Drosophila melanogaster: one gene and its partner. The protein of the gene in region 2 interacts with the protein of the main gene of each other region in a pairwise test. Each region holds a gene or a part of one and is shown on either strand. Other genes may lie near its edges.

Region 1 (4,714 bases), 5.9 Mb from region 2:
AGAAATGCCTCACTATGCCGGCTGTAATTCAACACGAAACCCTTCACCTGCTGGGCCTTTTCCACGAGCAGAGTCGTCCCGATCGCGATGAGTACGTGCAAATCGACTACGACAATATCCCGAGGAAATACTGGTCGCAGTTCATGGCCATGGATCAGACAACCACCTTCAATGTTCCATACGATTACGAGAGCGTTATGCACTATTCGAAGAACGCCTTCGCCAAGGATCCCTCAAAGCCAACAATTCGTGCCCTAATCGGTGGTAAGGCTGTGGAGAGGGAAATGGGTCAGGTGCGAGGACCTTCCGAAGGGGATTGGACCAAAATTCGTTTGATGTACAAGTGCTAGAGTGGAGGAAGAATTCTGCGAGGACTAGGATTGGTTAATAAATATGTTGCGTTCTAAAGTGGATGTGTTTAAATGGAATGGTTTAATATGCAAACTTTCAGACCGATTGCATGGTTTTTCAATCTTTTATGGCTTTTCATTTAAGTCTATCACTAAGTCATTTAAGCCCCACCCACCCGAAAAGTGCTACCCGTTTAATGCTACCCAATCATTCAGTGTCCGTTAACTGGAAAAACGTTTTTCCAGCCTCTTGAAAATGGGTAGCCCCGCTCGAACATAAAGGAAATCCAAATCCAAGCCCAAGGCGAATGCATTTGATTTCACAGAAGTGCAAGTGTAAGTGTCAGTTAACTTTGAAGCAGACTAAGGAGCAGTTGGGGAAGAAAGCGGGGCTTCTCAATGCTGAATGGGGTCTGCCGTGGATTGGGCATGAGTCCAAACGACTGGGCAGCAAACAATCCGAATCCCTGGCACTTAATGTGCACTAAGTGCTTAAGAAGGCCGAGTGTCTGGAGCTGCCTATTAGAAGTCTCTCACTCCCCTGGCCAGTAACCACCCACTTTGGATCAGGATACCATTTCATGGATAGCAATTGCGGAATTTAAATAACCTTTTTAAATCCCTGACAGCTTTGCAAAAATCGAATTGTACGAGTTAAAGAATCAACCAAGCAAGAAGAAATTTTCATCTGCTTAAATTTAAAGAATATATCTTTGCTATAAAGAATCCAATTATTTTGACATGAATTATCTTATATGCCCAGATAGAAATAATATTTACTGAAATGTGACGAATATTATTTAATAGCTTTGACCTTTAAAGAAAACTGTCAGAAAACAAACCAATAAAAGCTAATAAATGTGCCGCATGGTAGTAAGAGAGTATTCCTGTATCTCCACTAATAATTTAGCAACAACATACAACGAATGTGTAAATGTTTGCTTAAAGGAGAATATAAATAACAAACAAAAGAATAAACGCTGTAGTTTACCCTTTTGAGTGGTACAAAATAGCACTATTGGCAAGTGTTGAGTTCTGCAAAGCGGGGCAAAGAGTTGTGGCTTCGTAAGGATGCCAACAGATGGCCATTAAATGCTTGCCTTAAGAGAGCCGGATATCAAAGAGACTCCACATGTTTCGGGAAGTTCGAAAGTGCCATCGGTGAGAGTGAAGACCGACTGGAAGTGAGCTGGCAGGATGAATACATTTTGGCCCACTGTTCTAGGCGGAAAAGCTCGCTCTCTCGCCGAAAAAGGGGAAGAGGAAAATGGGAGCTTTGGCTGGTCGCCTGGCTTTTCAAGCCGACGCCGTTCGTGTGGCTTTCAGTGTATTCAGTGCAGTCGTATCGTTCGGTTCGTTCTCACGGTGAAAAGCGGTGGAAGGTCCTGTTCGGAGGACAACCTCAATACGCCACTCACACACGCACAAGTGGGCTTACTCACACGGACACGGGTGCGCTAGTCGAAAGTAAAAGTTGTCCAGTGTGCCATAAAGGTAAATAATAAATGAGCCAATGTGAAATATACGCACGCAATGTGAAAGCAACGAAATATATGAAGAAATCTACGGAAAAATGAAAATCTAGACCTGCGTGCCAGTGTGCAAAATCAAGTATGCAACACTTAAGTGAAACGAATATCCCAAAATAAAGTGTGCAAGAGTGCCAGCGATCCTTGAATATTCGAGTACCAAACTAAAATACTAAGCCAGACTAAAACTAAAAACCGAACCTGCCCCAACTGATCCTTCACCTCAATTCTTACCTATCAAGGCCACACGGCGGCTGTGGCATATTAACGTTGCACTCGTTGCACGTTGCACATACAGCCAACTCACACAAAAAATGTTATTCATCTTCGCGTGCTGTTTTGTTTTTTAAGACCGCCAAGGTCGTCCAGGAATACGTATATCTCTTAACGCGGTCCGAGAATTTTAGAAATAATTATAAGAAATACTTTGGGGTTTCCTTTTAAAATTTCTCGGAAAATGTTGCGATTTTCCCTCGTCTGAACTTTTGCTTTTTAACTTTTTTCTTTCGCCTTCCCTTTGGGGCTCATAAATTAGGGTCGCATTCCGCTTAACCGGGAATATTTGCATAAAATGGGAAAAAGGGCGAGAAATGGTTTAAATACGGGAATCACACGGCTGAGATATTCAACACATGAAAAAAAGGGGGCATATAAAATGAGTTCACAGGCCTTGATGGGTTGAGATAAAGCAAACATTAAAGTCCCTTTATTTAGATGATAAAAAATTGAAAAACAAAAGTGAAAATTAGCACTGCGAAAATTCCAAGGTTCATAAAGATTCGGTACCGAAACTTTTGAGTTTTATCAAAAACCCAAACATCGAAAAATTTGCAACAAAACAGGATCAAAGGACAACAGCAGCGCAGCAAAGGTGAGCCCTTTTAATTTTATTGAGCCAATTATCCAATAATTTCATTAACTAGTTAACACCAATAATCATGTATTTCCTTACAAAAAAAAAAAAAAAACAAAAACACATATCAACCAATGTGTCATTGTTTGAGTTTGGGTGGTGCGTTGGTTTTCCCAGTGGCGGAAAAGCCAAGCCAACGGGTGGTACGGTTACATTTTTATTTATTGTGATATTTTTTTTCGCTGTTTCTCTTTGCTGTGGTTAGAAGTTGTTCAGGAAAAAATGTTGCCGGTGGGAGGAGCTTGGATTGTTAGCTCAATTTAATTATGAAAATGCCAAGAATTTCTCTGGGCACACACGTGCCTAAACATACAGGTGGGTGGTATTCCAATCAACTTATTTTATTAAATGTTGTGGGGGAAGGACACCAAATTTATGCTCCTAAAAGCTTATATTAAGACTCACTGATGGAAAGGTGTTATAAATAATAATGACTATTTTTAATTAATATACAAACGGAATATTATAAGTGTTATAAGTATTTGAGAGCTACTTGTTGGTTAATTAAAATTTTATCAGGCAACTGAACATAAACCTGATTCAGTTACTACGAACTGAAATTTTGTTCTTCGGAAACATACTAATAAGCCTATTTAAACTCTTTTAAGTTCTTGAAATTAATTAGCTAATGATCCATTATTTATAATGAAACATTATTGCTAAGAACCATAAATTCGCGATGGGTAAGGCTTACATTTAAATAGGTCACGTGAAATGCCTTCGTTTTCAGTTTTACTAAGAGTCGTAGCTTTCCACTCATGTGGCACATATTTCTGTGGCATCCACCACAAATTTCCATTACTGAGATTGCCTTAGAAAATATGCTTAGATGCTACACCTTTGACCACTTTCCCAACACCATTACCTGTGAGCTCAGGGAAAAGGTAACTAAGACTTTCCGCCCGACAAGATTGCCATTTTATGCTAGACATTTTCTAAGAAAATAAAACAACATTTTATTTACACGCTGCTTCAGCAAGGTCACTTATTATGGAACTTTGCGCGTCAGAAAGTTGCCCAAATACATAAATTATTTTTATTGTACTTAACCTTTTTTTTTTTTGCCTTGACTTTCCCTATTCATTGTCTGGCCCAAATCAGCTTAAGTCACACAGAAAAGAAATTCATAAGCTTGCTTTAAGATGCGAGTAACCGAAAGATACAAATAAGTGAAGTAGGCCGAACAGAAAATAGGCTTTAAAAGCTGTTTGGTTACTCTATAAAATATTTCGGTTGAGCTTATAGAATTTCAGAACGACATTAATAACCCTTCTTTCGTTAGAAAAAAAAGGGTTATAATATTGAGCCAAATTATAAGCAAAAAATTGTATTTTATGTGCATGGTTTCCTACAATTCATCGAATTGGATTGATACAAAAAGTAACTGTAGCTGATTAAACTTGCTTATGACTCTATGACCTGAATATATTTTCCCATTTAATCAGCTTACAATTGTTGCAATATTTTTTTAAATGGCACAATAAAGTTGAAAATGCAATGGAAGTGCAACACAAAACGCGTCCATTATATTTGTTTTGGCATTGACATATTTACTTGATTTAAATTTTTATGAATACCCTTTTGTTTACTTGTGAAACTCTTTGAGCGTACAATTTTGAATGAATGAAATATTATGCAAATGTTTGATAAATAGCAGGAAATCAAAAGCAAACAAAAGGAGAAAATTGTTAAGCAAAAATATAATTGATGGCAATCGCACACAATTGCAGCCGAGCGAAGACATAATTAAAAGAAATATATATGTATATGTATATATGCGTACGTATGGGTGTATTAATCAAACATAATTACTCTGGTCATGCATATTTGATTAATCGGTTAAAAGGAAGGTCCTGTGGTCGTGTTCCACTTTTGTTTGACCTGACAGCTGTCGCTTTAAATGTCAATGCATTGATGACCCA
Region 2 (4,846 bases):
TCCGGTTAATTAATATTTTGAAATCAATTGTTGTCGACACGAGCACAAACAAGGAAGCAGCTCCAAAGGGGCTGCGGTTGCTTAGGCGAAACGACTTTTCGCTCAGCTGCAGAGCAACCCACTTTCCACTTTGCCCATCCTTTTGCCCGCCCTCTCATCCTGCGGCCCCGTCAATCGATTCAATATCCCATGGCCATTAGAAGGAAGCCGGCTCGACTACAAAATTGAGCCCACATAAGCTGAGGGGAAATCGCCTTGTTGCCACTGCCACTGTCTTCGGGTTTGGCTTTCGCTTTTGCTTTTGCTTTGGCATTGGCTTTGGCTCAAATAACCTGAAAGGCCCAATCAACAGGTGTCTTTGCCTCTGCTGCGTGCTGGTGCTTAGTGTTTCTGTGTGTCTGGGTGTTTGTGGTTCAACAACCGGGCCACCGGCGGCAAGGAGTCAGCTTCACGGCCGAGTCGGATGCCTCGGTGTGTGCCAAGCCAAATGGCGAGAAATAAAACTGGAATAATTCAATAGGAGGCGTGGCCAGCCCACTAAGCCCATGGGTAGGAAGTGGAGGGGGGGGGGTGTGTGGGTATGGCTGCGATGGTTGGATTCAGTTCGGAGAAGGCAGCTTCATAGCTTGCGTAATGAATGTCCTTAGCAGGCTGGGCACGTTTCATGTTTTTTCGTTCATGTTTGCTCTGCCAGGCTCCTGGAATCCCCCATCCAGGCCGCCAATTTGGAGCCAAACGGAAGGACCAGAATGCTGGCCATTAAAGCTCGTGCTCCTCCAGCTCCTTTTGCTCATTTCACTTAAGTTCATTTCGCAATTTAACACTACCAGGACACGCATCAACGAGCTGGCGTCTTAATTTGTGCCGCTTTTTCTGCCTACGCTCATAATAAATGCAAAAAATAGTAAGGGCAAAAAACAAAAAAAAAAAAAAACAAATAAATTTCCAGCAGAGGAAATGCCGAAAATATTTGCATGCAAATTTCCGACCTCCTTCACGCAGAAAAAAGCTGCACACCAGCAGCCGTTTGTCCCGTCAACCGCAATTTGAGTAAATTTAATTGAAGCCCCTTGGCCTCCTGCTCATGCATATTTATTGAGTCGTGGAGGGGACGGTGGGAACGGAAGCGGAGCACCCTTTTTGGGTCCAAGCAACAGTTGCCGCACATTGCGCATACGCCGCGTGTGCCACGGAGTAAGTTTCTGGCGCAGCACAGGGGCAGATCCAGCGCCAACTTAATTTCCACGGCACAACTACTACTACAGCCGATTATGCTAATGTCGAAAGAAAGAAAATTCAGGTGTTCTCCCGCAGCAGAACGGGGCAAGGAAAGGGACAAACAAGGAAAAGGTGACTTCGTCCTGGCTCTCGCCCTTCGTATTACCAAAGAAAGACAGCAGGAATTTGCAGCTGCAAGAGAGGAGGATATCCCTTTTGCTCCGCTTTCCCCTCGTTTGCTTATCGCGCTGACTTCTTGCTTCCGGTCTTATTTCTTGCCTTTGGACAGGACGACGCTGCCTGTCTGCCGTATAACAAATAGCAAAATGTCCTCCGTCCTTCCGCCCGTCTGGCTGACTGGCATTCGTGGCTGTGTCCCGGCTCGTCAACAAATTGTTGCTCCGCCGTTGCGTGAGTAAATTCCGTCGGCTTCTCGGTCTCTCGCTCGGCTCTCCTGCCATTCCGACATTGCGCATACGCCGTGTGTGCGTGAATTGCACCACGATGGCCCACTGTGCCTGGGGACGCGCCGCCTGTGCCAACTGTGCTATGGCCCGTATAACACCGGGCAGCAACAGCTGCTGGACGCACAGTTCATCGACAGTCCTCGTCTGGTTGGGTCCTTGGGTGGCAAGCGCGGCAAAAACGCAAAAACGCAGCACGAGTAGCAGCAACAGCAGCAACAGCAGGCACAGCAACACCAAAAGCAGCAACAGCATCTGTATCAGCCATCAGCAGTTCGTCCTGAAAAGCAAAAGAGCAGTGCGAGTTTTAAAGTTTCGTGGCTTATTTCCCGGAAATACCCGGTGACCATTTCGCGAGTTTTATATTCGATTCGATTCGAGTGCGGACTGAAGCGGTCAAAAACGGAGCTTCGGGTTCCTCATCAAAGAGCAGTCAGCCGGATTAATCCAAGCATTTGGGTTTGCGCACCGCCCAGCGGCATAAAATGATAAGTAAGTGCACAAAGAAGTACCACCATATTGTTAAGTTTTAATAAATAATTCAAGTTATGGGAGCAAAGAAAATACATTTAAATGTATACATAATGTTCGCTTTAATACAATATTAGAAATAGTTATTTCATTTTTGGCTAGATATACAGATTAACCAGAGTAAATATAGCAGCATAGCTTCACTTTCGTTTAATAATAACTTAATAATTATGCCGAAAAGGTAAAACGCCATTTTAATGCCACTTTATCTCAACTGCACTTTCCGCTTAAAATAAAAATAAAGGAGGCAGAGACAGAGAGCAAACCGATTTGAATCGTGTGCCCGGCTAATAAATGTGCTTTGCAATGGCGCAGCCTCATGCATTTTTTTCACACCCAACCACCCGATGTCCTGGCTTGCCACTTCCCCGCTGGTCCACTTCACATGTTGCGGCTGTTGCACGAGTGTCTGTTTAACGCCACTTAATGTCCTTTCTATTTACTATCCACTGGCTGTGTGTGCGTGTGTGTTTGTGCTGGTGTTGATGACTGCACAAAGCACACAAACTCGAAAAAAAGAACACACACACACGGCAACACTTCTGTGTACTTGCCACTCAACAGTTTCGTGCGAGAAAAAAGGGAAAACGCCTTTGGTGCAGCGTGGAAAACGGGAAACTTTTCCCTACCCGCCTAGAAAAACACTAAACAAAAGTTGAGTCGAGCAAAACAACAGAGGCAACAAACATCGCGAAACAACATTAATTTACGTGCTAAAAGCGGCCTTGAAAACTTGCAGCCTCCGTGCGGTAATTGTGCTTGAAAATGGGCTGCGCAGGGGGGTAGGGGGAGTGGATGGAAATAGCCCGGGAAACTGTCCGGGAATCGTCCTTGTCCCGGTGAAGTCGAAAATATACGTAGCAAAAGCAAGGCGATAAGTAAATTGGAAAACTTCATTACGATGAGTCGAAGCGAACACCTCGGTTTTCACTTTTTCAGCTTACTAATTAGCAGCAGCTTTTTGCAAACAATCTTCAGGGAGCCATGAAGATTTCAGATTCAGAATTACAACTTATTTCCTCATTTTACGGGGATTTACGAGACTTTCGTCTAAGCGAATAATGAGTAAATCAACTCAGATTAGTACGCAATGCACTCGAAGAAAAGACTGTCAAGAAATGCGAGTATTTGCTGCCCGAGGCGAAGGATTCCCGGAAAATCTGGATTGCAATTTATATTATTATTCCCTTGCTTCAGAAAAATTTGTTAGCAGGGTTTGTCTGGGTGTAAATCAACATGGAATGCCAAGGGTTATTAAGTTGCACTGGGAAAAAAGTACCAATCGATGCAAGCTTTATTTATGTATACTAACATTCATTGCATATCCATTCAAATATGTTGAAAGTTTTGGAGTATGGACATTTAATATACGTATGCATGATATAATAAAGAAGATAATTAAGTTGATTAAATTGTTTTTAGCTCATATATAGTGGCCTAAGCAAATCCCACCTCAGTGCGTAATTTTTCAATTATTGTGGTCAACGGCATGCGTAGTATTGAACAAACTGCATCGGTTGGTGGTTGTGGTTATGGTTTAAGGACTTGATTTCAGAGAAATCAATTTAAATGATTAGTTTTGGTTTTTGTGGTTTGTGGTTTTCCCAGTGTAGGTAAGCGTTCAATGATCTCGGTTTTAAAAAAGGGGCCATAAAATGTCGTCGGGAAGCGCAGAGTAATTTGGAATGGGGTAATGGGGGTGCTGGTGCGCACACAATTTCAGACGGAGTTAATGAAACAATGCAGCGGTTGCTTTAAGACCTTTTCAAACCAACCCAGCAGCAGCACCCCCCCCCCCCCCTCCGCTCATCAACCCCTACCACCTTAAAGTGTGCAGCAAAACTCGCGAGTGTGTGAGTGTGGAAATTTTACGAGAGGCGCTTTTCTTTCCGCTTTTCGCCAGATCCTTTGTCGGTTTAGCTCTTGCTTTCGCTTCACTTCTGCCTTTATTTTGCTGCGAAGCGATGCTCATTTGGATTCGCATTTCGTTGTTGCTTCTCTTGTTTTTGTTGTTCACTGACAACCCATCGAGTTTCACCCGGCGCCCAGCATCCACCACGCCCTTTGAAATCGTCGAGATTTACGCATATATTTGTATGGAGTTACCCACTCGGCAGCGTCCCTTCGCCGCATTTTCCCCAAATTTCCCCACACTTTCACCGCCCGGGTTGACGGGCCGGGCACAAGTCGAAAAACTCAATTGCGGCTTTTTATGTGTAATTCGCATTTTTGTTCGCCTTCTCCGCCCGTCAATTTCATTGTCGTTCTGCTCGTCGGATATTATTTTTTAATTTAACTTTTATATTCGGAGCTTTCCTGCTGATCCACCCGCCCCAGCGATTCTTGTTTTTTGGGTGACTGTTTACTTTTATGGGCCAGTGTCTTTTGATTCTATAATTTGCATGATTCGTACTCTTTGTCGTTGTATTGAAATTAATTTAAATACGACAATCAGCGCGAGTCGAGAGCCCCAAGTCCGGACTCCGGGCCACTCGACTCCCAGCGCCCAAAAAGGGCAGACAAAAGTCCGTGGAGCCACCGGAATGGCAACAATGTGCGCAACGACATCAGCGGCTTATGTTAATGAGCACTTACAAGCTGTAATGACGGTGGGTACGATGGCGGTGTGGGTG

Evidence for each region.
Region 1: the proteins of CG31191 (region 2) and dpr9 interact in a two-hybrid assay, tested with the Drosophila melanogaster proteins (one large-scale study listed by BioGRID).

Annotation. Positions count from the first base shown.
Region 1 is NT_033777.3:15,074,166-15,078,879, reverse strand, and holds the start of dpr9 (defective proboscis extension response 9), read left to right. Parts: upstream 1-1,673; 5' UTR 1,674-1,844; intron 1,845-2,593; 5' UTR 2,594-2,750; intron 2,751-4,714. Other genes in the region: CG6974 (uncharacterized protein), read left to right, coding at 1-350.
Region 2 is NT_033777.3:20,942,492-20,947,337, reverse strand, and holds the start of CG31191 (uncharacterized protein), read left to right. Parts: upstream 1-1,807; 5' UTR 1,808-2,167; coding exon of another isoform or gene 2,168-2,174; intron 2,175-4,846.